Linked DNA regions of Oreochromis niloticus. The protein of the gene in region 1 purifies or fractionates together with the protein of each later gene. This does not show direct contact. Links are inferred from orthologs where the notes say so. Each region holds a gene or a part of one and is shown in the gene's direction. Other genes may lie near its edges. The genes, in order: epb41l3b, clns1a, pnn and gsk3ba.

What was found.
Region 2: the proteins of epb41l3b (region 1) and clns1a purify together in Homo sapiens (affinity purification with mass spectrometry; 3 studies listed by BioGRID and IntAct, with this or other methods). This does not show direct contact. The link is inferred for Oreochromis niloticus from reciprocal best matches to the Homo sapiens genes EPB41L3 and CLNS1A.
Region 3: the proteins of epb41l3b (region 1) and pnn purify together in Homo sapiens (co-immunoprecipitation; 3 studies listed by BioGRID and IntAct, with this or other methods). This does not show direct contact. The link is inferred for Oreochromis niloticus from reciprocal best matches to the Homo sapiens genes EPB41L3 and PNN.
Region 4: the proteins of epb41l3b (region 1) and gsk3ba purify together in Homo sapiens (affinity purification with mass spectrometry; 4 studies listed by BioGRID and IntAct, with this or other methods). This does not show direct contact. The link is inferred for Oreochromis niloticus from reciprocal best matches to the Homo sapiens genes EPB41L3 and GSK3B.

The regions. Positions count from the first base shown.
Region 1 is NC_031982.2:24,528,982-24,537,528, forward strand, and holds the start of epb41l3b (band 4.1-like protein 3b), read left to right. Parts: upstream 1-5,427; 5' UTR 5,428-5,675; intron 5,676-8,547. Other genes in the region: tmem200cb (transmembrane protein 200C), read left to right, coding at 1,157-2,710. UniProt on the Homo sapiens protein: Tumor suppressor that inhibits cell proliferation and promotes apoptosis. Modulates the activity of protein arginine N-methyltransferases, including PRMT3 and PRMT5.
Region 2 is NC_031979.2:35,680,417-35,688,394, reverse strand, and holds the start of clns1a (methylosome subunit pICln), read left to right. Parts: upstream 1-4,764; 5' UTR 4,765-5,056; coding exon 5,057-5,175; intron 5,176-6,085; coding exon 6,086-6,222; intron 6,223-6,385; coding exon 6,386-6,526; intron 6,527-6,644; coding exon 6,645-6,755; intron 6,756-7,646; coding exon 7,647-7,652; intron 7,653-7,978. UniProt on the Homo sapiens protein: Involved in both the assembly of spliceosomal snRNPs and the methylation of Sm proteins.
Region 3 is NC_031983.2:25,169,315-25,176,755, reverse strand, and holds the start of pnn (pinin), read left to right. Parts: upstream 1-4,052; 5' UTR 4,053-4,097; coding exon 4,098-4,210; intron 4,211-4,623; coding exon 4,624-4,704; intron 4,705-5,767; coding exon 5,768-5,839; intron 5,840-6,183; coding exon 6,184-6,259; intron 6,260-6,374; coding exon 6,375-6,469; intron 6,470-6,616; coding exon 6,617-6,692; intron 6,693-6,826; coding exon 6,827-6,982; intron 6,983-7,261; coding exon 7,262-7,400; intron 7,401-7,441. UniProt on the Homo sapiens protein: Transcriptional activator binding to the E-box 1 core sequence of the E-cadherin promoter gene; the core-binding sequence is 5'CAGGTG-3'. Capable of reversing CTBP1-mediated transcription repression.
Region 4 is NC_031987.2:19,718,927-19,726,361, forward strand, and holds the start of gsk3ba (glycogen synthase kinase-3 beta), read left to right. Parts: upstream 1-4,241; 5' UTR 4,242-5,258; coding exon 5,259-5,346; intron 5,347-7,435. Other genes in the region: gpr156 (probable G-protein coupled receptor 156), read left to right, coding at 1-393. UniProt on the Homo sapiens protein: Constitutively active protein kinase that acts as a negative regulator in the hormonal control of glucose homeostasis, Wnt signaling and regulation of transcription factors and microtubules, by phosphorylating and inactivating glycogen synthase (GYS1 or GYS2), EIF2B, CTNNB1/beta-catenin, APC, AXIN1, DPYSL2/CRMP2, JUN, NFATC1/NFATC, MAPT/TAU and MACF1.

The DNA.
Region 1 (8,547 bases):
CGCATCAGCAGATGTCTGTAATCATGATAAGTGTTGGTGGCTTTGTTGCCCTTTGGACCAGAGCTTATACGATCAGTCAGCAGTGGCTGGTCTGCATTGCGTAATCGTAAAAACCCCAAACAAATTTAAACATCCTACATGGCTGTGTTGCTGTGTAAACACATGGCTAATAGCTCATATTTGCCTTTGTGATGTGGCGTGCGTGTGTGGATGCAGTCCTGTTGAAGCACAGCTGCACTGGTTGATGACGAAATGGATTTGGGTGGAAAGCAGGAAGGGAGAGTGTTTTATGGGAGAGATTGGTGGAAGAAATGAGAGGCAGAGGAAGAGAATGAGAGCAAGAAAAACAGAGTGAGGTGGAGAGAACATGCCTGCTGGCCTCCTGTCTGGACACATTACATTTTCATAGGCTGATATCGCACCGGCACAGCTGAATATAGATAACAAGCACTTCTTGTTCTACGCTGTCAACTTGGGTTTTTGTCTGTCTTTTGCTTACGTCTTCAGGTTTGTAGATCCAGCAGCAGCAGATGTATACTATCTTTTATTTAGACTCCTTCTGATGACTAATATTTGCCTCTGCCTTTAGTCGGATTAGTGCAAAGAAGCAGGCTAAATAAACCTGTTGCGTAATCTGAGATTCAGGGCTGGATTAAATCACTGGTAGACCACGAAAATTAGCCATGGGCTTCCTTTAGGTCCTCCTTGGACAGATTTTGTTGCTAATATCTTACTAGTATTCCTCCTCTGATATCTTTTTACGCCTTAAAGAAATTCTTGACCAGAATTTGATGAAAAAAAAAAATCATGTCTGTACAGCAGATACACAGCTTGAGCAAAAGATCTGAAACAGGCAACTTATTGTATCCAGTAGTAATGAAATCCCTCTGCCAGGTTTTCTAAAGCTCACCAAAGAATGAACTTCTCACCATGCTTTACACCTTTCTTCTAAACTAACCTTCACATGTTAGCATTTACATTTTTTTTTAAAAGTGAAACTAGATAAATGCTAAGACTCTTATCATTTGAATTTACTGGGATCTGACTTGTGTATTGCAGTATGCAGTAAACATGCTCTCTCCTCAGGCTTATCTTCTCTCTCTTTTGTTTTGTGTTCTCACAGACTGAGTGACAAGCCTGTGGTCTAGTCGCCACCATGATAGCCACGGGTGGCCTGCTGCGCATGAACAGGCGCCAGGATTCGCTCCGATCCAAAAACCGAGCAGAGAACAAACGGAAGCGGAAATCCAAGAAAAAGAAGAAGAACGATGTGGTGGTGGTGAAGGGGAAACTCAATCTCTGCTCCCCGGCTGGTTTGGTGGCCGCTGTTGGAATTATAGTTCTTATGGTTGGGATTTCCATGGCTGTACTGGGCTACTGGCCCAGCCAGAACCAGCAGGAATACCAGGAGCGCCGCAGAACCGGGGGATTCCACACCAGCAGGATGAGCTATTCCAAAAGTCCTCAGATTTCCTCCAACCTGACCCGTGGTGAGCCTTCCTCTGGCCAATCAAATCTGTTCAACCAGAGTCATTCTAACACCAGTGTTTCTAGCCCGTCCCGTCACTGTGGCTTTTTCTGTGACTTCCTGGATAATTATTTGTATTCAGACAACCTGAAAGTCTTCGGACCACTTGTGATGGGAATTGGTATCTTTCTCTTCATTTGTGCTAACGCCGTCCTCCATGAAAACCGCGACAAGAAAACTAAAATCATAAACCTGAGGGATATCTACTCCACAGTGATAGATCTGCACAGTATACGATCAAAGGAGTACTCACCTCTGAACGGCATGGTGAATTACACCCAGTCAAAGAGTGCAGAAGGGCCATCGGGTTCATTTCCAACAAGTGGGATGCTTACTCGCAGTTCCTGGCCCTCCACTGGAATCACTTTCAAAGGTGAGGTAGATGGCGAGGAGGTATTCAGACGCTCCTCATTGGTCAGTAGGCCTCGTAGCTTGTCCAAAGATGTGCAGACCTTCACAGAGACTGTCTACAGCATCTATAAAGACTACAGCAATAGCAGTGAGCAGGCACCTCAGCCCCGACAGTGGGAAACCACTTCCATCGTCACCTCTTCTGTGAACGCTTTTACCCTGCCAGTAATCAAACTGAACAACTGTGAGGTGGGGGAGAAAGCAGAGGCAGAGGGATGCTCAAAGGAGGAGGTTGTTATAGAAGCTGCTGCTGAAAACATAAGTGAGGAGGGACAAGCCAGCAGCAGCAGCAGCCAGAGAGATGTGATGTACGGTAAGCAGAAGGAGGCTTCGATCATGGACTCTCCTCCTCCTCACCGGAGCCACGAGGACACCGACACAGGTATCCAACAGGGGGTGCCGCAGTCTCAGCCTCAACCGCAGAGGCCTCAGCTGTTTCCACCGTCTCCTGTTGCCAGGGCGATGGGGTCACGGCTGTCGCTCAACTCTCTCACGGATCAGCCCAGGCCAGCACGCCGCTGCAGCCTGTCTGTGTCTGGATGTCGTCAAGGTGACAGAGCCAGGCGGTTCAGCTACCCCCGTCTGGAGCACTCCAACAGCAAGGGCTACATAAAACTGAATGACCTGGGGGGCGAATCCTTTGAAGCCCCCGACGCAGACACTTCTTTGGTGGCCCCTAAACAGGAAGTAGCAATGGATGCAGCAGCAGCGGAGGAAGAAGCTCAGGGACAGGACAATTTGGCGACACCGAGCACCTCTGGAGAATCCTAGGCCTCTTAAAACTCTTTGATGTCTTGTTATTTGCTTCGCACCCTCTTACGTGATTGCTAATGGGTGAAGCTGGCCATTAGAGAGGAAAGGAAACACGGAGAGTAAGCAACTAAGGACTATTGAAACATAGCCATGAATACTCAAGAGCAAGACTCTTTATAAATACACCAGACCAACAGTTCAAAATTCAGATGTAATTTTTCTATTTTTTCAATGTAGCAAGAGCAATACTAAAGACTTGTAAGGAGATTTAGAAATGGTTTGTAAAAAAAAAAAAAAAAAAGAAATTTGATCAGATGAGGTTTTTTTTTCTTTTGTATAAGAGTAAGGCAAACATTGTAGCTTGTAGAATTGCCAAAACTTTCACTCTGAACTACTGTCCAACATGTCGTACTGTAGCATTAACATATGCCACAGATATTTAAATAGTCTAGATTTGCTTCTCTGCATTGTTATGTGAATACCACGTGAATAGGTGAACTGAACTGAATCTCAGGTAGATGTCTGGCTTAGGATCGGGACCTTGAGGACAAGGTCTTCCCTATGTGCACACACTTGTTTATATGAAGCATTCATGGTTTAATAAATTTGACTGTAACACCTCCATTGGGTCTAATAGATGTCTTTGTGTGATATTAGATTAAATGCCACGAATGCAAAATGGCTTGTTTGCTCCAAATAGTTTCACTTGCATTAAGAAAAATTAAAAGGATTAAAAAACTGGAAGTCGGACTATGATTGATTGTGTGGCAAACGTGGAGACTGTATGGATTTTTTTCCCCTGGACTTTAGCCGTACTTCTCATTACTGGGAAACACTGCAGTGGTATTGATGTTTTATTATCTCTGCCAGCTGAACCGAGACCAGTGACCTATAAGTGACCTTTACAACAGTCTTCTTAATAATTGTCTTCACTATTACAAAGGGAAGTTAACAGCTGAGTGAGTATCTGCTCAAATGGGCGACAAATTAAACGGGGGAAAATAAACTGGGCGTTTATTGATAATAGTGAAGACTGTCATAACTGTCAGTCCCCAATAACTCACCTGGTTGAGCAGGTGACCCGGAGGTCAAAGGCTGCTGCATAGGGGCCTGAGCACAAGTCTAGATCAGATAGTTTCCTGTGTGTCATTTCCGCACGACCTCTCCTACTGTATTGTCAAATAAGGTCTCAAAATGCTAAAAAAAAATCTCTTAAAAAATCATGTTCAACTGAGATCTGGCAGATAGATGCTAATCATTCAACAATCCCTTGTATGCAGGCAAGTGCATTTATTACTGTTTCTCCATTTACTCAAACAGATTTTTCCATAAAGGTACAACTTGTATGATTAGCACAAAAAAACCCAAACAAGTAGTATTCAGTTATCCTAAGTGCATCAATACTCCTGTTTTGTGGCAATTTATACATAGAGTTTATCATATGTCTACATGACTTCATCATAATATGCTACTGTACTATTGTACTTTTTAACCTCACTGCAGTTATAGTTACACCTTTAAGCTGTGCACATAAAATACAATAGTCTTACTCTATAGCCAGCCTTATATTTTTTAATATAATTACTTATGTGAGATAAATGCATGCCTTGTACTGCTGTAAATGCATATTGCACCACTGCCACCTCACTGTATATACAGTGCTGCACAAAATTATTGAGCCAGGCCCTTTTCTTTACATTTTGCTTCTAAAATACTTTCTTGTATTTTTTAAGAGATCTTGAGCAACAGTTCTCCAGGCTTTATGAAGGTCGTTCATAAAAGTGCCATCAGATTTTGAATCTACCATGCAATACCATCTGACAAGTGTCCGATTAGCAACGGCTTTGTTTTTTGTTTTTTCAGCATGATGATGATCCCAAACACACTGCCAGTGCAGTAAAAGCACGAGTGAACACTATCAGTCATGCATTGGCCTCCCCAAAGCCCGGACCTCAACATTACTGAAGCAGTGTGGGATCAAATGTCAACCAACAGTCCTTCAACAAGCCTGGAGAACAATTCCTTAAGTATACTTACAGAAACAGACAGTTCAGAGTTCAGGCTGTGTTGAAGAGTAAAGGTAGCTATAGCAAAATGTTGACTTTCAAGCTCATTTGAAGTACACAGACTCTGTTTTTGCCTTATGCACATTTCTATGTATGCTTCCATCCGTTTCAATAAATTCCTGTGACTATTCTTATTTTCTTAGTTAAATAAAAAGAAATAAGGGGTACTTCACGACTGTTTCACAGCACTCATCTTCCAAGTCCTGCATATTGTTAACAGTTCCTACAGGATCAGACAAAAAGTCCACTTTGAAGTTTGCAGACTATTCACGAGAGTAGCCAGCGGAGCTCAGCCTAACGTGGCCATCTAGTGGTCATGTGATGTTTGAAAAAACAGAAGAAGAAGAAGAAGTACAAAAATAAAAGCGACCAGCAGGTGGCACTGGGTCTATGCTGGTTGAGTCGTGGGCGTGCCCGTTTAAGAGCACTACGGGGCCGATTTCTTTTTAGAGGCAGGAGGGGGCGGGGTCAGCTCGCTCCGTCTCTGGGAAGGTTTGCCAAATTTGGCGCTCACAGGTGTGTGATCCCTTTCACCCGGACGAGACCCACGCAGGGGATTCCTGGTCTTCGTAGCGCTCCCTGACCAACAGCTGGCGTTTGGGGAGTTTGTGTCCCCTCGCTGAACACTCAGGTAAAGTGCTCGCTTGTGTTTACACTGTTGTTTAGTTTGTGTGTCGAAAAACAGGCTGTCACTATATGAGCATGAGCAAACTTAAGTCGGGGTTTTCTGTTTGTAATTAGGGCAGCTTTAGGATGTTATATGTGGTTGTTAATATTTCTAAAGGGTTATTCTCGTCGTGTGACATATCTTAGTAATGTTCTGTTTCATTTTTCATGTCTTTTTTCCGTTGCATTCACCGGGCTTTCCACCACAACGTGACCTGCTGCTTTCCCGGCGATCTGTTACATTTCAAACGGTGAGTACGAATGTTTATGGGCAACAATGTGAAACACACAAAGAGACAAGCACAGGGAATAATTTGGAGTTAGAACAGAATACATTTCAAGCGGCAGCCTCTTCACACTTTATACTGCAGAGTAAAGGGCCAAACAGACGCGATCAATACTTTACCTCGCTTTATTTTGAAAATCTAACGTGACGGAGCGTTGAGAAACTTCGTGTAACAGCTGTTTAAAAGTGAAAACAAGTCAGATCCATTTCTTCCCGATACAAATACAAAGCCCTCGATAAATCTAAGTTCTGTGTGACACTTTTGACTCAAGTCTTTTACAATCTGCTGAATGCGTCTATAATCTCCTCATCAGCATTTTTTCTCAGGCTATTTCTTAACTCGTTTCTTCTCATAACTGCTGAGGAAGCACTACTTGTTTTCTTTGACACGCACACACACACACGCACACACACACACCTGATTAAATGTTTGCTGGGCACAGACAGGCTATTCGGAAAGGGGAAGTTGTCACAGCATGTGTTTCCTCTCCTTGAAATAGAGATGTGAATGAATCAAAGAAGGAAGACGTTTCTGTTATAATAGTCTCTTTCATGTGCACTAAAATGAACATTCATCTCATGGCATTGTTAATAGGGAGGTCCATATGGCTGCAATGAATTTTTATTTGATATTTAATCTTTTCGATATGTATGTATTTTAATATGGGACAGTGCATTTTATAGTGCCATCTGACCATTTGCGCTTGAGTAATTTCACCAGTTTTATGAAGTCAAATGATGAGGTTGAATGTACAGGACTGAGGAGATAACACCGGCCAAAGTCCGTGGGACTTGTCTTGTTCATTTGCTTGTGTGTGCAGTCTTTGATGTTTCTGCGGATGATTGGTAGCATTTTGCTGAGGCTTAACATTTCTTGTACCCCATGAGCTGGCTTGGACTGACCAAAATGTTCTCACTCTCTGTCATACCAGAGGAAGTAGAGTTATGTAATTTTGTCTCTTTCACTGATGTGTTAGAGTTGTCGTTAAGGACAACTTGGACCGCAAAGAATGGTTGGGTTTTTTTTATAGTTTTGTTTTTTTAACCCTTCTAATAAAAACACATTTTAGCTGATTTTTTTTTAACCCATTAACTGATATGAATTCTTTTCTTTCATTATTATTATGATTATGATTATTATTATTGTACTTCAGTAGTATATATTTTGTTGTTTTGGTTGCTTGGGGTCAAGTTAGCATATTGTTTGTTTGTTTTTGGGTTTGTTTTTTTTTTTACTTATTAGCTAACAGTTGTTTTACATACCCAGCAGTTACAGTGGATCATTTACGCTGGTGTTACATTTTCTGTGTACACAAATATGTGAGCTTCTGAGTAACATAAAATTTGCCATCAGCCAACCAGCAAGTTTGTCGTGACTGCGTGGAGATGTTCGTTTTCTTGTTATGCATCACCAAAGAATTGGAGAGTATAAGGCCTGTTCGACTCCTTTCAGCACTGTTTTTGGTCTCTACCAACTGCTGGATGAAATGGCTGTCTTTATATCCAGCTGCAGATGGTGCCCAAGCAAAGCTACTTTAACGCTAACATTCCTTTCAGGATAAGTAAACAGTTTGCATTCTGCAAAGGCAAATAAAGCCTCAGCGAGCTTTGGGTGATAAAACTCCTTCAATCATTTGCTAAAAGCATCTCTCTCACTGCTGCATTGTTATTTCATACATTCCTATGATGATAATAATACAGCCAGTTTAAATATTCAAAGCAGGTAAAATAAGTAATATTTATGAAAAGTTTAATCCACAAAATCTCTGGTAATTTGCTTCTTCACCGGGAATTTGTAAGTTTGTGTTGACCACTACTTTGAAAAGATCACCATCTAGAAAAATCCAGACATGTCCACCTTTTGAAACAGCTGATCTTTTCTAACTTTGGCAAAAAATGTGCATAATCATGCCAAACCTAATAAAACTATTAGGAGAGGAAAGTTTTCAGGACACGTTTAAAGGATGAATTCCACTTAAGGCAAGGCATTAACTCCAAACAAGAGTTTTCCGGCATGCTCTTCCTCCAGCTCTTTCTGGAAAAGGTACACTGTAAATTGAAAATGGCAAGCTGCACTTACAGATTAGCCAGTAAAACATTGTCTTAGCTGCAGTGATTTATGTGACACAGCTGGAACATGGAAAAGGCTATTTAAATGTTTTTGGGTGTCCATGTTGCTTGTTGATTTTTTTTTCCAAGTTGGACCAGTGGAACATGGGAAGGTTGTAATTACAGGCAAGCAGCTGGGAAATTCCAAATTCTGACAAAAACTCCAACGCTGTATTTTTTTTTTTTTTCAAGCATGCATAGTTCACGAGATATTAAGTCTGAGGATAGGGGGATGTTATAATGGAGTAGTCCTTTAGAGTTCCCCATGTTGCACGTATAGCCTTTTGAGAATCAAAGGATTTTCTATAAGTTGTATTAAATTTTATTTTGTTTTTTTTACTTTGTTAGCTGCCTCTACACTATATACAGGCAAAACCAGATAAAATCTCTTCGTTGTGGCTTAAAAAGAATCATTCATGTCACACATCTAAGGCTTTAAGAGCTACACAAAGACAGATTTCCTACTGTTGTTTTGATGTAATGTTGCTGCTGATAAATCCTACCTCTGCCTATTCATCTTAGGAATTTACATCAATGCTGCTGTCAGTTTAGTACATGATCAATAGCACTAGGTTTGGACTGCAGGAGAATATATTATTTTTGCTGCTCTTTGTTGCTGTGACTCATTGTGCTGCTGTATGAAAACCTGTGGAAGGGCTAAGTGTGTGACTCAGAAGTAAGAGGTTAAAGGTTAAAAGGAACAGTCAGCAAACCCTTGTTGTTATGAC
Region 2 (7,978 bases), on another chromosome or scaffold:
CCCGGTTTGGAGGAAGTGGGAAATGGGCTCGAAGACTTATGAAGAAGTCGGTCAAAACTACTCGCTGGTGCTTCCATTGCTAATGTTAAATGATTCAGGTTGGTACACCTGTGGAGGTCAAACCATAAAACAATGGTATAAACTTTTGGTGTGCCCCAAATTTGGTCCACCTGCAGTAGAGGTCTTCTCAGAGGGAGATGATGTCAATCTCACATGTACTACTGAAAGAAAACTGGGTATGAAGCCCTGGTGGTTTATGAAATCGATAAAAAGAGAAGGTAAAATCATTGAATTTACTGAGATTATTGAAAATCAAATCAGAATCCTTCTTTCCAACGACAGCCTGATAATGTCTAATGTCTCACTGGAAGATGCAGGAGAGTATTGGTGTACAGTTTTAGAGTCAGAGATTGAGTGTGTGTCAGCAGAAAAAACAGTTCTGATCCACAGAGAGCCCTTTGGGGTTTACTCGACCTTCTACAGAGTCAGGTGGATACTGCTCAGCGGTCTGCAGGTGATGCTTTGTGTTGTTGTGGTCTGTGTGATACAGAAAACCAGGAGAGGAGAGCGGCTTTCAGCTCAGACACACACTTAATATGCTTATCAGCATTTATAATGGTAATAATGATAACAACATTATTATTATAAGTAATCATAATAGTGTTAATATTAATACAGGGACCTAGGATTGATGAAACAAAAACAAAAACAAAAACAAACAAAAGTATTATTGTAGATATGAATCTGTGACCTGACTGGACAGCTCGCTCTCTTATCTGATTATATATTTTAAACATTTTGCCTTTTTAATTTTTCGACTTAATTCTTATTTTTTTGTACTCATTTTTATTTCACCTAGAATGATTATGTGCTTTTTTGTTTCATGTGATTTGTTTTTTATCCATATGTCATTCATGTATCTCTCAGAGTATCATTGTGAATATTCTTCTGTTTCTATCAGTGATCAGTTCGATCTATAATAAATGTTAGAAACCAGTTGTAAATGTATTCGTTCTTCACTCTGATGTGAATCATTATCATCTCTCTTGGAAAATGTATTTTGTTATTGTGTTTAAGAGCAGATTCATTACAGCACCATGTTTATCTGCACTATATTGTTTTCATTGTTGTGAATCATTTATATTTGCATTTCAAATTGTTGTGATGCAGCAGACTGGAAACATGATTGTCTGATACAGCAAACACTTCATAATATGGACTTTACTGCTTTCACTGTGTTTTTATATTCTCCATTTTTGTTAGGAATCATTTCTGAAATAAAAATATCAAAATCTAATTTAACAGGCTGAATGTTGATGCTCTTCTGTCAATGACTCCATGATGATTTTTAATTTTAATAAACACACAATCCTCATATTTCAGTGCAGGATTTAATAAACTGGATCAGAGCTCCCAAACTTTATTTTCAAGCAAATAATCAGGATTTTGAGTTAATATGCAGCCAACACGCTTTAACATGTCTCTGATGTAGAGTGAAACATGTTACAGAGCTGTTATATCATTTATTAATATGGTGATTGTTTCAGAGGGAAATGTCAGTCTGACTTTGTTCATTTCATCTTATTTTTGAGAAATGATCAAACGAAAGGTTTTAAGGAATGTCGTCCTGCTTTTCTTTAATGTGCACTGATAAGTTAGTGTAAATCATGCAGATAAAAGAAGGATGAAGGACATGAAAATAAAATGCACTGTCGATCACATAATATCACCAACATCAATCAGTGAAAAACATTTACAGTGAAGCACGAGCCTGACTGATTTTAGGATAAAAGTTGAGGTGGAACTGTAATCGTGGCCTCAGTCCTGCTGTGGGTGTTCAAAACAAGAACATTGCGGGAGAGCCAATCACTTTTCATACATTCTCAGAAAGTCACATGAACAGTAAAAGATTACATCTGACACACTGAATGCTGATAAGTGAATACTGAGAATTTAGAAGGAAATGTTTTTAACTTGTTCCAGATAGTCTCATTGAAACTGTCACACTAATCTTTGTACTCTCTCAAACTCAGAAAAACTCAAGAAATCTAATTTTTTTCATAATTTAAACATTTTCTCCAATTCGTAAGTGCTATGTAAATCATTAGGGTCTAGGTGTTATTGTCCTTAGTGGGTAGCTCTGTGGTCTCACAGTAAGAGGATCCTGGGATCAAACCTGGTCAGAACTCTGTGAGGGGTTTGGATGTTTTCTTAAGGAGCTCCAATTTCTACAGTCACCAAAAACAGTTCAGGCTAAGAGAACCATTACACCCACTGCACTGGTCGCTTCACACACCAGCAATAACATCATAACAGCCACGTGCATTTATATACACTGCTAAGGTGTTTTTGACACAGTGGCAAACAGCAAAACATTCAGAGGTTCACTGATACCGAAATAAGACTAACGTGTGGCTTGTGCCAATGGATTTAACATCACTTTTGTCCTTTCTTATCCTCGCCAGAGCAAGAACACCAAGGATCATGGCTCCATGATGTCACCGATCTGGGTTCAGGACCTTAAAGAAGTTGTTACTCTAAAGCGATTGTTAATCTGATTAGTTCTCTCCTGGTTTGAGGAGAGAGATGAGAAACAACAAACTGGATATCACATTTATCTTCCCCTCACACCCCTGGGAGGCTGATGTGTGTCCCACAGGATCTAAGTCCAGTTGTTCTCTACCACCTCCAACAGTGAAGCACAGCTGGAGTTGAGGACTTGTAATCGACATGTGACACAGATGTTCCTGTACACTACCCCAGTCGTCTGTGCATCTCAGTGTACAGGTACGCCCACATAGAATGACCACCCCCAGATAGCTACCAGCGAACTGCCAGCCAGTTTCCACCTGTTGGCCGTTCCTCCTCCTGGGGTGTTTGGGCTTTCTACACTCCCCTTTCATTCAGTTACAGAGTGGCACCAAGAGGTGGCGCTTTCTTCACAAAAACTGAAAATGTCAAATAGACCAAACTTTACAGTCAGCTTGACTTTTCAGACATTTTTCACTGCACTAAAAGTATTCCTGGAAAACATTCTTTCATTTTAATTTAAACCAATTATTAATTAAAGTAAATTATTAATTAAATAAATAAATGGAAAAAGGCAACCATTGATAAAAACGTCCTCATACTCTAAGCTCAAAAGCAGATGTGAAGGTAAAATCTGATATTTGTACAACTTTCATGTTTCATTTACTGTTTGCTTCAGTGTTACTTGTTCAGACTTCTGTTTCATCTCTAAATATAATTTATATTTTTCCATCAGATTACAGCTCCTTTGTTCTCTCATTTTAATTTTAGTAGTTTTTCAAGTGGTTGTTCAAAAAACACCTGAGGCATTGACAACATTTTTAGGTAAATAGTTGTATGAACTTTATTGTTTATAACATTTGTGCCTAGGTTTTTTTTTGTTTTTTTTTAAATTTACAATTCATTTTTGCATTTCAAGCTGTGAAAATAATTCTGTAGATATGTTTGTGGTTTTTACATTACAAAACCAAAAACAATGACAGCCTTTTTCTACTCATTTTTTATGTTTTTGTGTGATTTCAGATCAGTTGTGTTAATACAGTATGCCAATAAATTCAGACATGTGAGATTGTGCTGAAAAGGTTGATACCAAACAAGGCAAGGCAAGAATAAAAAATGTAAAAACAATTTAAAGGTGATGAAATACAAAAGTAAAATCAAAAGTAGCCAAAAATGGCCAATTATGGCCATTAATAAAAATATCAAAATCTAATTTAACAGGCTGAATGTTGATGCTCTTCTATCAATGATTCCATGATGATTTTTAATTTTAATAAACACACAATCCCCATATTTCACTGCAGGATTTAATTAACCGGATCAGAGCTCCCAAACTTCGATGTCAAATGAGTAATCAGTGTGTGTGTGTGTTCTGAGGCAAGATTAGAAAATTGCATAACTGCCTCAGTGCTTGTAAACCTTATAGTCCTTACAAACTCTGTCTTTATTCTGTTTCCAAACAATTTTTCAAGAAACCGATATAATGAGGATCAAACTTATTTGTAATATTTTTGTTCTCCACTCTCTCAATTGACAAAAATACCAACAGAACAAAAACGTTAAATGTGAACACACAAATGAATCATGAAAAATTTCAGTATATTATAAAATAGTTTTGACTCTCAGGTTGAAGATGATCCTGGGATTCAAATCTTGGTGAAAATGAGATCTTTCAGAGCTCTGAAGCTTTGATGTCAAATGACTAATCAGCTGTAAAATGCACATTATATTTGCTAAGCAGCTTCTTATGTGGACCAGTGTAATTGGAGTGTAATCCAAACGTAATGAGTTACTATTTTGAATATTAATGATTCTTTTTTTATTAAGGCAGTGTTTAAATCAGTTACTGAACCTCCTCAGTTAGTCACTCAAATTTGTAACCAGTGAGGAAACCCTTAAGTTAATGTCTTTACCAACAAGTGAAAAAAGGAAAGAAAAAAAATCTTATAAAGTCAGTGGTGTTTACTCAATATGTCCTTTCTTTTTTTATACAGATAATCATTTATTTTTACTTTGTTGATTTGTGCTTGTTTATTTAAAAAATCGTGTTTGTACTGTCTATATGCTCAGTCTTTGTTAGAATGTTTATTTTTTACTCTTTTTTTTGTAAATAATGTAAGAATTTATGTTTCCACATCTTTAGGAATAAAAGATTAGGGAGCAGCTCCATCTCGCGGCAGCTTTTCAAACTGCCAATCTGGAGTGTGTGAATTCTCGTTGGGAGTTTTGTGTTGTCGCGATACTTCAGCGTGACGTCACCCTGAACCAGCACTTTGTAACTCCAGTGTTTTCAGTTTTTGTCACGCCTGTTCTCGCACTCAAAGATTTCCGTCCCGGATCTGCTAATCCAAGGGACGAAGCGTTATAGCACGGCTGCCGTTTTCTCGCCTCCAGCTGTCCGACACTGATTTAGCACTGAGAAGTTACCCCGGGTGAAATTAGCCATCTTTAGCCAGTACAAAATTTATCACGCAGCAGCGCGTTTTCACCGGTTTCTGTTCTTTCCCGTCCCAGCGGACCGAGGACTATGGTGTTACTGAAAAACCTCCAACCTCCCACCGAGGGAGTGAGACACGAACAAGCCGAGACCACGGCGGTGATGGACGGCCAGCGGCTCGGCTGCGGCACCCTCTACGTCGCAGAAACGTAAGTGGTGCACGTGGCGCATGCTTTGCTCTTTGGCTCGTGGGTCTGGGGTTCAGGCTCGTGTTTATTGAGGTTCTTATCGGGCTTTCACGCGCCCTTTATTGGAAATTACACCAGTTTACATTATAGACACAAAAATAAACGTCTGCTCCGTGCGCTGAAATCACTTCCGGAGCACAGTCTTTCAAAATAATACGTTGCAGAACAAAATGTGGATGTCTTCTTTTGAATCCAGTATTAGAAATATGTTTACTTATTATTTATATTACATTTTTTTCTTGTACCTCTCCGTAAACATGATATATTTTGTGTCTGTTTTTGTATACCTTAGACTCTCGGTAATGTTAAAAGGCGGGTTTCTTTTTTCCTTTCTTTCATGTTTATTTTTAAATAAATGTATTTTTTATTTGTATTTTTTTGGAATTTGTTTCTGTGCTATCATTGTATTTCTTTCCTTTTTACATTGTCTTTGCGTTCTTTTTCTTCTTCGTGTTGTTATATTATTTCAGTTATTCAATTCTTAATTTAATTTCTTATTTATTTTTCTTAAGCTAGTAAAAATTTTTGGATAAGCGCAAAACAGCAATAAACTGGGAAGGAAACATTGTGTGCGTAAATTCAGATTTTACAGCTGTGTTATATTTCTCACAGACCCACGCTGTTGCATTACAATTACATACTGTCTCATTACATATTTTTTTACTTTCAGGAAGTAGAAGCAAACAACGTTAAAGTAATTTAGTTGGAATTTTTTAACATTTTTGAAAATATCATTTGATAAATTAATAGTCAGTTGAGACCGTAATTAGTCGTTGCCAGAAAAGTCAGATAATAAGCCTGACAGACATTTAAAAGCATCTAAAAGTTGTTTAGTGCTGTTGTTTAAAGCAGTTTGTTTTCCTTTTATCAGGCGCCTGTCGTGGTTTGACAGCTCAGGCCTGGGTTTCTCTCTGGAGTATCCCTCCATCGGACTGCACGCCATCTCCAGAGACGTCAGCGCTTACCCACAGGAACACCTCTACGTCATGGTCAACGGCAAACTCAACAGTGAGGCGAAGTTTACATCTGAACTTCATATCTCTTTTTACTTGTTTAGGCAGGGGGAGTCCAGTCTTCGGGGTTGTTAAAGCGTGTTTGACCTGTTCTGTACAAATAGTTTCTTTACAGTTTCTGAAGGAGTTTTTGGGTCACTGCTGACTTCTCCTTACAGAAGAGAACGAGGCAGAAATGGCAGAGAAAGCAGCTGATGATGATGATGATGATCATGACGGCAGCAGTGATGGTGGTGACGATGATGAAGACGAAGGGACGATCACAGAGATTCGATTTGTTCCCAGCGACAAAGCGGCATGTGAGTGACCTCGCTGGGGATGAGCAGCAGACATTTCAACATGGCTGCACATCCTGTATAAACAACAGTTGGAGATGGCGCAGCATCACACTTATACCTTTGTGTGCTTTACTTGCAGTGGAGTCCATGTTCTCAGCCATGTGCGAGTGCCAGGCGCTTCACCCCGATCCCGAGGATGACGACTCGGACAACGACTTTGAAGGAGAGGAGTACGACGTGGAGGAAGCCGGTGAGGCAAAACTCAAATGCATAGATGCAGATTTGTCTTTAGCAGACACAAAGAAGACAACAGCTCCCCACATTCCAACAAACAGTGATCTAAATCCTCAAATTAATTCAGAAACACAAAACAGAAACAGAAAATCTTTCCAGAAAAAAACTGAGTTTTCTTTTTAAGCATTTTATTGTATTTGTGAATACAGAATAGAATTGGCTTTGTGTCTAATTGTATTTCTATTGAAGTGATTTTCTTACATCACCAATGGCTGTTCTTGTAAAGTTGATCTGTTCTGCTCATTTCCAACCTAAATTTTTATTCTTGGACACTGAATTATCTTTAAACACATTTCATATTTACTGTATTCCTCCTTCCGACAGCACCAGTTCATCCTCGATCCTCCTTTGTCTGACACAAACTCCTCCCGTTTATCTCCTTTAGCTCCACCCTCCAGAGGAGCTCCACTCCTTTAGCTTCCTTCTGATGGATGGATGGATGGATACTTTATTAATCCCACAAGGGAAATTGTTGTTGATTAGCTTTGTCTTGCAAAGAGACGGTCTGGCTAGCCACATTATGGATGTCCCCATGTTTGAGATTAGACAGATCCAGGTTATAAACCAATCCTCATTAATAAGCGCTTAAAAGCTCATAATGATTACTTGTTAGTATGGTGACCTCGTGATTTGTTATGGTGGCTGTTTTACTCTGAGCACGCACCATTGTAGCTGCATATATGACAGAAAATAAGGATTACCAAATAGTTCCAGTTTAAATAGTTTACTGTAAAGAACATTTGATAAAATACTTCTTTTGTCTGAATGTAAAAGTCTTTTCATTTTTCTCCTTCTGTCTTTTCTCTTTCCCCTTCACGGACTGATGACTCGGACTGTTTGCTTGCAGAGGCTGGTAAGTTTAAATGAGATGAAACACCTTGCTGAGCAGAGTAACTGATGTTTATGGCAGTGCAGTTTGGACAGGTGGAATTAAACACTACTCTTTGTAAATATGTCACTGAAGAAGCAGCAGGACTGAGAATAGATGGTTATCAGCAGCTGAACTTTCAAAATAAGAGTGAGGGGATTGTGCTATCCTGTTGTTAAGTGATGATGCGTGAACCCTGCATCCAGGTCCAAACTGCTGTTGTCTTTTTAAGGTGTCATTTAATCTGAACAAGTCCTTAAAATTAGTCAGTGATCACTGCCTGTCTCTCTGGGTTTTTATTACCACTATTC
Region 3 (7,441 bases), on another chromosome or scaffold:
TGTGATGTTTCTGGCTGGTAAACAAAGTCGTTCTTGTCAAGTCTGGAGAGCCAAACCTCCTAATTAGCCAGGCAGGCAGGCCTGCTGCCCAGTCCAGCAATACAACTATGCAAGAGGAATGCATATAATCCACACTCACCCTCTTTTTCTTTTTTCTTTTCCTCCTATTTTTATATTTGGTTTTTCTCACTGTCATACAATAGAAGCGAAGATGTAAACTAATAAGAACTTGCAATGACAATACTTGGCCTTATGATGATTTCTGAAATCTTATCGTTTAGTTTTAAGATCTTTTTGATTCTGGTCAGCCAGCCCAGCGACAGCAGCGGTGACGGCGGGCTCACTCTTGGTCTCTGTGAGACTGGCTAGATGGCCCCAGTTTTATCGTGGTACGAATGTTGTGCATTTGTTTAAAATCAGGACAGTTTGCAATAACAGCAGTCTTACTAGTGGCCACAAAGGGGGCACAAGCAGTGCTGACGGCGCCCGGCTGCATCTTTAGAAAAACCATAGAGGAAGAAATATAAACTATATAGATATCTAAACTCACACAGTGCATATTTGTATAGGTATCAACACTGCATTACCGTGGTATACTCTTATGCAACACATGTCCGGGTTCAATTTATGAACATGAAGTATACTCTGAAGTCACGCAGACTTTGTAAATCAGAAGCTCTGTTGTTGTGTGTTTTTTGCAGAAATGGTTTTACCATCGTTAATGTTGAATATTCTGAGCGTAACGTTCCTGTGCGACTGTGTCGGTTAACGTGAGCACATAGCACCAGGTTATTACCTCCTTTCTGTAAGCAGGGAACCAGACTGAACCCAGAACACAGCTGGACAGACTTCAGGTACCACAGAGCATATTTCAGAAACAAAAACTTCCAAATCTGTTCTGCACAGAGCTTTAAAAGCGAGTCAGTGCTGTAACTCACCTGAGCTATGTCAAACAGACCAAGGTGTGATTAAAAGAATGGCTTGTGGATTTTTAAGACCAAGCAAAACCGAGTTTTACCCTCAATGTCTATAAGAAAAGGCACATAAAAGTGATATTTGAACTCATCCCAGCTGTTTTTTGGATTAGTCTGCAGGGAAAGAGTCCTCTGGAAGTAAGAGGACAGATTTTATCATTGAACAGTGTTGATCCATGGCTCTGTGGTGAAGAAAAGGGAGGACATGTTATAAACCTCCATGTAAAACCTCTGACCTGACAGATGGCATACACTTGAGGGGTCAACCTGACGAATGTTGATTTGAATTATTGTGGAATGAATGCTTCTCTTCTTTTAGTCAGTGAATAAAAACAATAAAATGTCACTTGCTTCGTTTGTCTTTTTTTTTTTTTTTTTTCTTTTTTTTTTTTTCCTTAAATCCATTTAAAAACTGGCATTGGAAAGAAGTCGTCTGTCGTTCTGCAATCTCCAATCATCAAACCAAACCAGACCATTATTGTGCATGAATGTCAAGTAGACCCAAAACTAACTCGGTCACAATTAGTCTGCAGGGACATTACATGACCCACTGGTTTCCCGTGTGTCTTTAAGTAGCCTATTGTGTCTTTTTCACACCTCCACACCCGTTAGTGCAAAAAAACAATAACTGCTCCTCATGACCTTTGGGTTGTTTTTTTTTTTTTGTTGTTGTTGTTGTTTGTTTTTTTTGAATGGGTTCAACTCACCAAATTTTAAATGACATTTCTCAGTTATTAACCATTTCCACGCCTACAATGGACATAAGCATTAGAAAAGATTCCTGAGATGATGAAAAAGACGACTTGGTCTTGCCTTTTCTTTTAAGGTCACCCATTTAATGCAATAATCAAAGCTGTTAACCCACCTCAATGGTTTTGTTATCTATCTGATGTGGCTCAGTCGAGTGGGTAAGTGAGAAAGTGCCACTGAAGAATTTGATGAAATAATCAAATGTAAAGAAAATGTTAAACTGCCCCACCCACCCCCACCAGAAAATTCCTCATCTTTACTTGTTAAGTCCCTCCCCACCGAACAACGATATTACACAATGTTATTTTGCCATTTCTTTGTTTACTCAGAGGAAGTCCCTGCAGCGCACCACGGGGACTTCCTTTGAGTAAACAGCATAAAGCACTTGCAAATGGATCTATGGAAGCCCAGAGATGTAAAACATAAGACAAGAAAAACGTGTCTCTCCTTTTTAGCTCTTCTGCAAAATCCTGCTCCAAAAAATATTTCACAGGTTAAAATATTCCCCTGTGATGATTTCAATATCCTTCTGCTCCTGCTCTCCTGCTTCCACATTACTGATTTCACACCAGCCTGTCACCACAGACTTGCTTTTTATCTGCTCAAAAATGTCTTCCAACAATAATTTTAATCATAGTTTGAAGACGCCAATGTCAGAAATGAAACGGGCAAGAAAATGCCCCTCATGTCAGTATACACTCACCTACCACTTCATTAGGTACACCTCTTTAAACACAACTATCTTACCTGAACGTAATTCAACCCATTTGGATACGTAGACATGGTCAAAACAACGTGCTGAACTTCAAACCGAGATTCAGAATGTAGAAGAAAGGTGATATACGTGGTTTTACAACCCACGCATGCACAAGAGCCTCTCTGAAGGCACAGCACATTAAACCTTGAAGCATATGAACTACAGCAGGAGAAGACCACATCAAGCGGCCCTACTGTAAGCTAAGAAAGTGGAGCCATAATTCAGTTTTAGTAATATGTTGGAATAAATGTTTTATGGGTTGCCTTTCCCAACTGTAATGTACTATTATGCATCACAAATTGCTAAAAAGCAGTCTGCTAACAGTAAAGTTAATTAAAAAGCTTTTTAATTAATGGACAGGAATAACTGTTTTGCACTAATGCTGCAGGTCTCAGACAAAGAGCTCGTTCTCATCTGGATAATGAGACAAGGAGATTATCATTGTGGCATTTCACAATTAAGCTGAAACAACAACACATTTTTTTCCCAACCAACAGTCAGAGGAGTGGGTTTTAGAAGGCTGGGTTCTCTGTTGTGTAATTAAATGCATGATGACATCAGTGTTATTGGACTGGTAGTAGAATGATATGAAAGAATCATCAGCAGAATTGTAGCGCACACTGTTAAAAGCCAGGAAATCAGCTGTGGTTTGATGCTTGGTTTCCACTTTGATATGCAAGAGCTGCAACAGCGGGACTCAGAAGGGTTTTATTTTCAATCCGGGGCTCGCAGCTCGGAGCCGGCTTCCTCAGTTACTGATAGAGATCAAAAGAGGCAGGCAGGCACCCTGAATCTGGCTGTCAGGAGAAGAAAGAGTGTCTGTACTCAGGAGGAGTGAAATAAAAGAACACTTTCTTCATTCCTGTCCTTAATCCAGTCTCGAGAGTATCGTCTGTATCTTTTAAACCTCTCATGAAGCTTTAGTAAAAACAGATACAAATCAGATGTTTTAAGTCTAAATTTATTCTGCTGATGCTAACTTGAGAAGTAAATCCTCTTGCTCTATGCAAATTGTGATACATTTCTTCTGGTTTAATTCCTTTGTGACTTCTGAGGATTCACAGATATTTTGTGCCTTCTTACAACATTTCACATATAGCACTTTTCACCACCTGGAAAGGGTCTTAATTTATTGTCTTCTACAGAAGTAAGAGGCTATAACACTGAACCATGTGTCTTCTTATGAAATTAGATAATACGCTTTTCATTTAGTTGACTCTCAGAGAAGATATAGGTGCACTGTTGGCTGAAATAGCACACACTGTGATATGTGATCAGTCCTGCAGTGGTGAATAATCCGCTGCTTCTTGCCTTCAGTTGCTTCCTTGTACTTTAGTGTGTGTGTTGTACTGTTCTGTCAACATTTTTACTTTGAATTTAGTTTGATCAACTTTAAAGACCCTTCTAAGGCTGGGAAAATTAATTTTATTTCAGATACACGCAAACACACCTTTCACCCCCGATTTTAGAACCAATACATACACGTTAGTAAGCATTATCCATCCCTGACCAGAGGGTGGCGGTGATGCGTTGATAAAGAGACAGGATGCAAAGGAAGAAGAGTCTAGAAGTAGAAGAAGAGGACGAACACGTGATTCGCGCTAACTGGAAGCAAGATGGCGGTGGCAGTGCGGAGTTTGCAAGACCAGCTAGAAAAAGCCAAGGAAAGTTTGAAGCATGTGGACGATAATATTCGTAAACTGACCGGACGTGATCCTAATGAATCAAGGTAAAAAGCTTAACTGGTTATTTAGTTTTTTAGCGAGTTCCTGGAGTGAAGCTGAAGAGCTGTACTCAGTCGACGTGTGCTAAGTTAGCGTGGGTCGGCTAACCTGCAAACAGCACCGCCTCCTTGTTTTGTGTCGCACATATAATGTTTTTACCATCTTAATTTATTCGCATCAAACGAATAAAAATTAACCAAATTGGTAACTTCTTAAAATATTGAATTGGAACATTAAATCTGGTAGATGAACAGAGTCGAGGCCCTGCAGGAGGCGTCGTCCGGGCGGCACATCACTTTGTCTTGCTTAATAATAAAACGGTTCTGCAGCAACACAAACGCATAATGTTAAAGTGAGTCTTATTTGTCAGACTGTATTCTTTCTTTTGTGTTAACCTCGGTGTCCCCTGTGCTTGCAGGCCGGGTCAGATCCGTCGGCTTGGCGGCCCCATGGCAGGCCCTGGAGGAGGAGGTAGAGGCAGAGGAATAAACCTGCTCAGGTAAATCTTTGCGCTCCCCATCTCGGAAAAAAAGAGCTTTAGATTTTCAACTTTAGTGGGTGATCTGAAAAGTATATACAACAGTACCCCCCCCCCCCCCCCCCCCCCCCTTCCCCAATCACACATCTTCCACAATCTATTCAATGTGAGACTTGGCGTCACGTCACTTCTTAAATAAGCCTTGTTGTGAAGGTTTGAACTGGGTTGTTGCTGGTTACAGAATGCAAGGCGTAGTTTATGACCATTTGCACAATAGCGCACTTATAATCATATTGATTTCATCAGTTAGACGTTAAAAGGGGGAATTGTTGTGCTTTTTTTCATATTAATAGCCACGGGGAAGTTAATTATCAGAAGCAGAAACTATGTAACTTTCACTAAGTAAGTAGCTTGGTTTACAAAGTGTAATGGACTGAGAAGCTGCCCCATTTTGTGTTATAATTTGCTTTGGGGTTTGTTTGGTTTTTTTTGTGAACCATCCACATCTACTATAGCCAAGAACAAAAACATGGAGTTGAGGATAAATGTTAATCACATTTGTCTGATGTTTTTATGATTCAGTCTGTAAAGGAAGCACTGTTGAAACACATTTTCTGTTTCAGTTAAATGTTCAAAGAGGGTTTGAAAATGGTTGTTTTTTGTCTTGATGCATGCTCAATCATCCAAGTAATTAAATCCCAGGAAGTTGATTGTTCATCAGGGCGTTGTTTTTAGTGGGCAAAACTTTTGGCTGCTCATTCAAGTGACTTAATATGCAAAGTGCTATGACCACTTAAGGACAATGAAACTGACCTCACGACCCATTGTTGGTCCTTAACGGTAGTTTCGGTCATTATGCAAATAAACTGTTTAAAAGGTTGGGGAAACCTAGGGTCAGCTCAGTCTGAGCTCAGTCACTTGGATGAGTGAAGCATTTCTGACTGAAAACAACACGTCCAGATGAACGGAATCAGCTTTCTTGGAGTTTCTTTGCGTCTCTCCAAAAAAAGGTAGAATAAATTATTTAAACCGCAAAAAATTCAGTCTGTGCATCTCTAAAGTTTTCCTCTTTGTCCTTTCTCAGACGCAGTCTCTCAGACATGGGAAGCGGCGGCCCTCCTGCCAAGCAAAGGGACATCGAAGGAGCCCTGCTAAGGTGAGATCTCGACTTGAAATATAATATAGTGATTGGGTAGTTTCTAGTTTTGGAGCTTGTGTAACACATTTTACCTGAAACCCTTCATTAATATTAAGATTATTTAACAAGTATAAGAAAATATGTTTCTTGTTGGGGGGGGGTGTTATGTAGACTAAAACAAGTTTTCTAGAGTAAATTGTATCAGACTGAAAGTACAACAGCATTTCTGCACATGTAAGGCATTAATTGAATGAATTCTCAGCTTTCTGTACTTTTTTTTTTTTTTTTTTTTTTTTTTTCCCTCCTTGTCTTGATTTCAAAGTACCATCTCTTATGAGTATTTGATCTTTGTGTGGCTGCAGGCTGGCAGGGGACCAGAGGGCCAGGAGGGACATGCGTCACGACAGCGACGCTGAGGATGACGATGATGTCAAAAAGGTAATTTTGTCAAAAATACTTGATCAGTATTTGCTGCCTCACAGTGGGTTTTTTTTTTTTTTTCTGCTTTGAAGTGATAAAAATCCTAACAATTTGCTTCTTGTCCTTCCTTCAGCCGGCGTTGCAGTCGTCTGTAGTAGCTACCTCCAAAGAGAGAACGCGCCGAGATCTCATTCAGGACCAAACCATGGATGAGAGGGGCAAACAGAGGTAGCTCTTAAACTCTAGATTTACATTCAGATTTGATTACTAAATAGTCTGAGCCATGATCAGTTTAATTTCATCTGGCAAATGGCAAAACGTGTCTACAGCTGAGAATTAAGTGTGTGATGGTGGTGTTTGTATTGTCTTGGTCAGGAATCGGCGCATGTTCGGCCTGCTCATGGGGACCCTACAGAAATTCAAGCAGGAGTCAAATGTCTCTTCAGAAAAGGTGAGGAATAGATTCATCTTTTGCTTGGTTATGAGAGCAGTATTTTTGAAAATATAGGTTTCTGTGTTGATGAGGTCATAAATTCCATGATTTTTTTCTTGTTCTGCTTCATATTTCTGTTTGTCATCCTGCAGCAAAAGCGACGTTCTGAGATTGAGCAGAAGCTCGAGGTTCAGGCTGAGGCTGAGAGAAAGAAGGTGGAGAATGAAAAGAGGGAGCTGTTTGAAGAGAGGAGAGCCAAGCAGACAGAGCTGAGACTTCTGGAGCAGAAAGTGGAATTGGCTCAATTGGTAAGACAGTGTATTTGTTTGAAAGTGGGACTAGCATGAAAGTGGCTGAGTTTTGTTTATTTTTAATGAAACTGGACTTACTGATTCGGCCAAACTAAAATGTCTATTTCATTTATCACTGTTTAATTTTCACACCAAATTGTAACTTGATAAACATCTAATTTAATACTTAGTCTTTTAAAGCCTATTTTTGTAGCTAGAATGATGGGAAATGTAAAATCAATTTGAGAAAAAGGTGAAATTGATTTTTTTTTTTTTTTTTTTTTCCTCCATCCAAAGCAAGAGGAGTGGACCAGCCACAATAATCGCCTGGTGAAATACATTCGCACAAAGACCAAGCCTCATATCTTCTACCTGCCTGGAAAAATGTGCTCCGCAACACAAAAACTCCTCGATGAATCCACCAAGAAACTAAATGGTCAGTGGGACTTTTATTTCTGGAGTGCACTGACAGTGTTG
Region 4 (7,435 bases), on another chromosome or scaffold:
CTTGAAGAGGGAAAGGAGGAGGAGGACGGAAAAGTGCATGAAGTAATGAGAACATGTCAGAGGTGTGTTTCAAGGCTCCCGAGATGTTCGGTCTTGCATTGTGAAGAACAAAACCGTAAAGCTCCAGAGGATGTGGGAGCAGGCGGTGATAACGAGCAGCACCGTAGACACATTCGAGACTCCTGTGGGTATTCGGACTCAGACTCCAGCAGCTCAACAGATTACTGCTACTACCACCGTCCTTACTGTGACTCCTGCCTGCAGCGAGGCTCCCTCCTGTACTCAGACAGCTCCTCAGACTCCTCTGACAGCGAGTATGATGACTACTTGAGCCTCTACCGCTCCCCACGCCCTGTGGTATTCAAAGAAGACCTCAAACCCACCTTCGTATGAACACGTTTACTGCACTTTACACATTTATCCAGTTCCACAACTTGAATGAATATCCTCAGAAAGGTTGCTAAAACTGATGTATTTCTGTGATGGAGGGACATTTGACAGTAGCTTACAGTATAGGAACTTTACATTCCAGAGATTGGTGTTTTTCTGTGTTGCACCATGGGTCACAGTGACTGATTTATAAGACTAAAACTTTTGTAGCTTAAAAACACATGATGCTGTTTACTTTTATAGTTCCTTGTGGCATTATTTGTATTATTTGGATTACTATTTCTACTGTCTGATGAAAACCTTTGACACTTACAGTACTGTGCAAAAGCCTTGAGTTACTCATTTATTTATATTTAGTTTCTTTTAATTCTTTAAGTGGTTCTGAAGGACATTCGCTTTTGGACATTGGCTGCTTTTTCATTCATTTTTACACGAGTCCTTGGGCCTCACCATTTCCAGAGGAATGTTCTTTTTCTGTGTTTGTTTTTTGTTAATCTTTTTAACACTTACCTTTGAATAATTCAAACATAAAAAGTGTTTGATGACAATGATAACAGACAACTTATCAAAAAAAATATTTTAAATTGTATGTTTAGGCACTTTGTTACTAGCAGCCGTTCCAAAATGCACAATTTGTTTCCACTTCTTTAATCCATAAAAAAAATGCCAAAGATAACACATTTTGACAGATATAAAACAGTTTTTGCACCAACAAATTGATTCTCAAAGTGCTATCAGCCCAAGATATTTCTTATGAATCATAGTTTAAGTTTTCCTCAACATATATGTGGGAGATCAGGAGAGAGGTGCAACAGTGAGTGCCTACAGAATGATAAATGCAGAAAAGTACCATCAGCCTTTGATCCACTATATAATACCACCTGGAAGCTTTTGATTGGCAATGACTTCATTTTTCGATGATCCCGAACATACTGCCAAAGCAGTACAAACATAGCTGGATAGAAATGCACACAATGCAACACTATCGGTCAAGGATTGGTCTCCCCAGAGCCCAGACATCAACATTACTGAAGCAATGAGAGATCATCTAAACAGAGAATGAACAAGAAAACTCCAAAGAAGAGTTACTTTTGTCCTTCAAGAAGCCTGGAGAACTATTACTGAAGACTACTTAAAGAAATTACAAGAAAGCTTGCCTAAGAGAGTCCAGCATGTGTTAAAGAATAAAGGCCGTCGTACTTGTACAAACTATGTTTCTTTCCTTATATACTGTATTTCTATTTATGTTTGCACCTATTTCATTTTTTCCCAGCAAAATATTATGAACTGAAAAAATCAGGACTTTTGCACAGAACTGTAGACAGGTGCTTTATTAGTCAACTCATATAAGTTCTCAAAATATACTGACAGAAGAGACACAATAGTGAAAAATGACATAAACAGATGCAACATAAAAGGTTTTCACAGAACAAATGTGCGCTCTATTATCAATTGTGCAATTCTGTATTTATTTCTGTATTTATTTGTTGATGTTTTGGTGCCCAAAATTACTTTATGTTTCTTTTATTATAAACATTCCTTAAAATGTTGTTATGCTCCTTTGCTGAATCTGAGTTTGAATTTACAATGTGCATTCTGTGAATGTGAGTGCTGACGTGATGTTAAATACTAAACCTCACCTTTATATGATTTCCATGTTAAATGCAACATTTTCCCTGAGTTAAAACATTTGCCAGGCTCTACATCACTTTAATCTCCACCATGATTTCATGATTTCACCACATTTTCATGGATTTTCCCGAAACACAGACAAAAGCCTTTTCTCCCTTTTATCTTTCATGTCTCTTTTATGACTTGCCCTTCACTTCCACTCCCTTCTGCTATCTACTCTCTGTCTTTCTCGTATTTTATCCCTCCACTAATGGGGAAATGTGTGTTTGCCGGGGGAGGTGTTGCTATGAAGGCAAAACAGTGTCTTGTGTTACTTCTGCTCAGCTGCCTGCTTTTAAGATGCTGCCGCTCTCTGTTCTGCATATGAACCATTGAAGGCCAGCCTGGGAGAAACTCCCTTTGATACGGAGAATAAAACACACACAGACACACATACACATACACACACCCCTGCATAAAAGATACACTAGCAACTGTATCACTGTGAACAGGGAAAGACTTTCCTGCCCTTTCTGCATTCTGCATATAATATATTTTATTGCCATTTCAGGAAATGCAGCACACATATAATTAGAGTTCAGTACAGTTAGTGACACTCACATGCATTTGCAGAAAAGAACAAGATACACCTTCAGCGATTTTACATCACCAGACAAACATAAACTGCACCATTTCCAACCTTTTTGGTAGTTTGTTAACAATAACTGCTTTATAGATCAGTAATAAATTACAGTTCTAGATTATTTTAAATCTTTTTGACTCAGTGATACAACATTCATTTATTAACACCTCATTCTTCTTCTTTGATCCTTTAGGGGTCGCCACGGTGGATCATCTGCCTCATTCTCACGCTATCCCTATATCCTCCTCCTCACACCAGCCCTCTGCATGTCCTCTGTCACCACAGCCATGAACCTTCTCTGTGATCTTCCTCTTTTTCCTCCAGCCTCGCAGCTCCATCTTTAAAATATATCTATTATCCCTCCTCTGCAAGTGCTCTCATCCTTGTCTCTCTAACTTTGTCTCCAAACCTACCATCAGCTATCATCTTGTAAACCTTCCCTTTCACTCATGCTGCTTTTGTCACAAATCACCCCTGACACTCGTCTCCACCCAGTCCACCCTGCCTGCACTCTCTTCTTCACCTCTCTTGTGCACTGTCCGTTGCTTTGGATTTTTGACCCAGTGTAGTTAAACTAATCCACCTTCACTATCTCTGCTCCTTGCAGCTTCACTATTATTAATGAAAATCGTTCATACATTATGTCAGTTGACAATACAGCCCTCTCAAGGGTAAGAGGAAAGAGAACAGAGAAAGAAGATCATGGAGAGACAAGGACAAAACACAATGGCAGAGAGAAGAAAAAAGTTAATGCCATGCTGTAGTGGTATGTAAATGCAGCTGTAGCATAAAGCGATAAGAGGAGAAGAAATGCTCATTGCATCTTAGCAAGTCCCCCAGCAATATTGCATCATAATCAAGACATGGTTCGGGGTCACCTGATCTAGCCCTACCTATAAGCTTAATAGAAAAAGGGAGAGTTTTAAGCCTAATCTTAAGAGTAAAGAAGGTATCTGCCTCCTCAAACTGGGAGCTGATTCCACAGAGGAGATTGCAAGCTGAAGGTTTTACCTGTTATTCTCCTTTTAGAAACTATATACATCAAAATATCACCAAAAATTAAGTGAAAAAAAACATCAGTCAAAGGAATCTTCAGAGCCAACTGATCCATTAGGTACGACGCCATATTTATTAAATAAATAATAGCAAAAGCTTTGTTTGTCTGGCATCTTACAAACACACAAAAGAGACAGCAGTTTAAATGTGAAATCAGGAGGTACGATGCCAAACATGCAAGATAAGGTTACAATAGAAGGGTGAGACGCGTGCACGCGCACATTATTACATTACTAAGCAGGATGACACTAATTAAAAGGATGTGCCCGAGGGCCGCGTGAGGTAAAAAGTGTTGGGGAGCGATAAAGAAGAGGCTTTTGTATCTAACATAGCAACAGTGCTGCATGACCACCGGTGCTCCGTGTCCGTGACAGCTGGGTCCATTTGAACTGACAGCCCGGCTTCGGCTCTCCATTGGTGGAAGAAGTCATCCATCCCGGGAGCGGGCCCGCCCCTTGTCCCCGACGCGGCACAGGAAAAAAGCCTTTGAAGTCGCGAGGGCGGTGCCGAGCAAATTATGCCATGTGGTGCTCGAGAGCGGCGTTTTTATTGGACGGCGGGAAAATGGTCACCGCCCGTTTTTGAAGGATTCCCTCTCTGATTGGCTCAATCGGCCACCCCAGATTCGCCGTGCGCGCGTTCACAGTTTTCCTATTCTCCCTCGCGAGTTACGTCAGCAGCGTGAACGTCTTTCCGTGACGCCGGAGCGATCCCTCGAACAATTTGCGGAAACGGCGTACCTACCATGCGCAGCGACAAAGACTGCGAGCCTGAAACCTATGGGGAAGGAATAAAAAAAGAAATTCCGTATCGTTGGACTCTGTGCTGAAAGACCAGTATTTTCTGAGGAGCTCACCGGCCTGGGGTCTCGGCAAAGACACCGAAATTTAACCGAGGCAAGGCTGGATTTAGAGTCGGCGTACGGCTAGTGAATTTGCTGAAGAAGACTGTAGCAGCTGGCAGATTTTCCGTTGGACCGTCTGTAGGCTAGGGTATAGCGAGGGAGCCGCCATGGCAGTCGGATCATTGAGCCTCCACATCGGGATATGAAGTGGAACTGCATGTGTTCCGAATCGTTAAGAAAACGCCGCATTTGTCACCGATCCGCACCGGATCAGCATCTGAACTAACCCTTCTTCATCTCCGTGAAAACGATTCCGCACCCCGAAAGAAATTACCGCTGGTTTTTAACCGTGGGGCCACAGGGAGAGGCCAGATTCATGACTATTTTAGTCGGATACGTGTCTTCAAAGGCCCGCTGAAAGAAAACCTGGAGCATAAGGAGGAAACGATGCTCTGATCGACCGTCGGTGGAAAAGAAAAGGGTCATTTAGTGGCGATACAAAGTAGTGTGAAGGATCCTGGGATAAGGGGATCTCTTTCTAGCTGACCTCCCTGAGAATTACAGTGATATTAATTTACTGTCACCCCCCCAACCCCCCTTTTTTGGATTTTTTTTTATTATTATTTTTTATTTTTGATGAGAAGGTTCGGCGAATCGATCAGCTCCGCCGTTTAAGCAAGTCACAGTCGAGAGAATCAAAGGGATCGTCGGATCATGTCGGGTCGGCCCAGGACCACATCCTTCGCAGAGAGCTGCAAGCCAGTGCCGCAGCCTTCAGCTTTCGGCAGCATGAAAGTCAGCAGTAAGTACTCCCGTGTAATTCTAGAGTGGCAGACTTTTCCTGCACGCACCAGGCCCACTGTGGGCTGCATATGCTCGCTTAAGTGTCCTCTCACTAACTAGGCTGGAAATGTGTCAAGTTAGCATACGGTTAGCTCCGGGAAGCTTATCTCTGTCATATATGTGTGTCACAGAGCGAGACTGGAGGCTGCTGAGCGGCACACACTGCTGCTCGCCCCGGTGTGGGCACACAGCGTTACGCGCTCTGTCGCGCCGCCCCGGGCCGGTCAGCCGGAGCAGGGTTAGCAGGCCGCGCCGGGAAGGGCCGGGCCGGGCCATAGGAAGGTAGTGTTGGCACAGGCCCAGGTCAAAACCAAGCCTCCTTCTTCCACCGCAGATCCGGCCTGATTATTGTCCATTTGAATGTAGACTAGATCGCGTAGAGATATTGCCACACAGCACCAATCACATGCGTAATGGAGTTAAAGCGATAGGTCCGGTCTATTACGCAACCGTCAGAGCGGAAGGTGCGCCCGTAGTTGAGTCGGGCGAAACTGACGCGATCCTAAGGGGGGTGGTTTATTAGCCCTGTTTCCACTACTTCCACGGGCCGTGTCGCGACGACCGGAGGGAGTGTGACATCGAGTATCCTGTTCATGAAGCCACGGTGGCACGGTGCCGGAGACCGCTTATAGACTGGCTGCAGAGAGGAAGCCATGCGACTGACTAGGCCTGTCAGCTGAGCAAGTGGCGGGGTGGGGGGCTGGCAATGTTGGTGCTAGACGCCTCTCTTTCGTCTAGTCTATCCATCACCACAACGATCTCAAGGCAAGGCGCACTCGCTCCCATTCGCTCTGTCTATATGCTGAAGATACTACTGCTGTACTGGTTATATTTAATGGCCCAGTTAGAGCTCACTCAGATGAAATAACATCAAATTAACACTAAAAGTCGTTTCATTGAAATTAATTTAGAAGTATGGCATCCTTACTATTAATGAGTATCGACTGTCGTAGATGGACACGTGCACATTTCCTAGTTACACCCCTGTCTTATCTGACACACAGATGGGTGTGGGTGGGGTGGAGTGGGGTTTGGGGGCACGTACCTGTTAAGGAATGCTGACGGAGCCTTAAGGGCTGTGATGTGAGCATGATGTATGTCAGTCGGGTGAGGCCTGAGGCTCAGGCTCATGTCTGGGCCTTGGTGTTGGAAACCGATTAGTGCACTGTGACACACACACTCCAAACCCAAGTCTAATTCTTGTCTTGCCCCAGATGCATGTATAGGTCAGGTCTGCTAAATGTGAGAATTAATTTTTTCAGACAAAAGTTTTGGATCCTCAACTTGATTTCTTTTTCTCTCATAGAGACTCATCTGGTGACTCAGTACGTTATTATCAACTAAAATAATAAGCTGAACCTCTAGTTGCTCAATTAAATAGGTGTTTGATAATCTGATGTCTAACAGCAGGTGGTGTTCATCTCCATGGAGGAAAGTAGAGTGGCTGATTGCTCAGATGTCCCCTATTGTAAAATTTCAGTCTGTGAAGCATTTCATGGAACCAACCCTTCCCAAAGTAATTTCCACCAAAGTAAGCAGCTCTGGCAGCTTCAGGGCCTTCTGTACATCGCAGATTCTGGGCGTGGACATTAGTAAAACATTGGTGAAAATGGTGGGTTATATTCATTTAGACTTTTATAAACGGGAAGGAAACCAGCAATTGTAAAGGTCAGTGGATATATATGCAGAGGGCCTCTTAGCAACACATTGTTGGTAGCAGCATCCAAGCACCCAAACAGAACATTATTAAGTTCCCAATCTTTAACGATCAAGGATGATAGCAAATCTTCATTGTCGATTGTGCTTAATCACTGAGTTTTATTTTTTCTTGTAACAAGCAGCTACATATAATTTACATTTCTTTTTAGTTATTGTTTTAATCTAAGGTAGGATCTGCCACACAGAAGTATGTGGTACGCAGTTTCAGTTGTATCAAAACTGTACTTTGGACTATGTCACTTAGCTGGAATCTACCTAGACTTGTTTATCCTTTCCTCCACCATCCTATAACACACACACACTTGGATATATACTTGCGCTCAAATGTG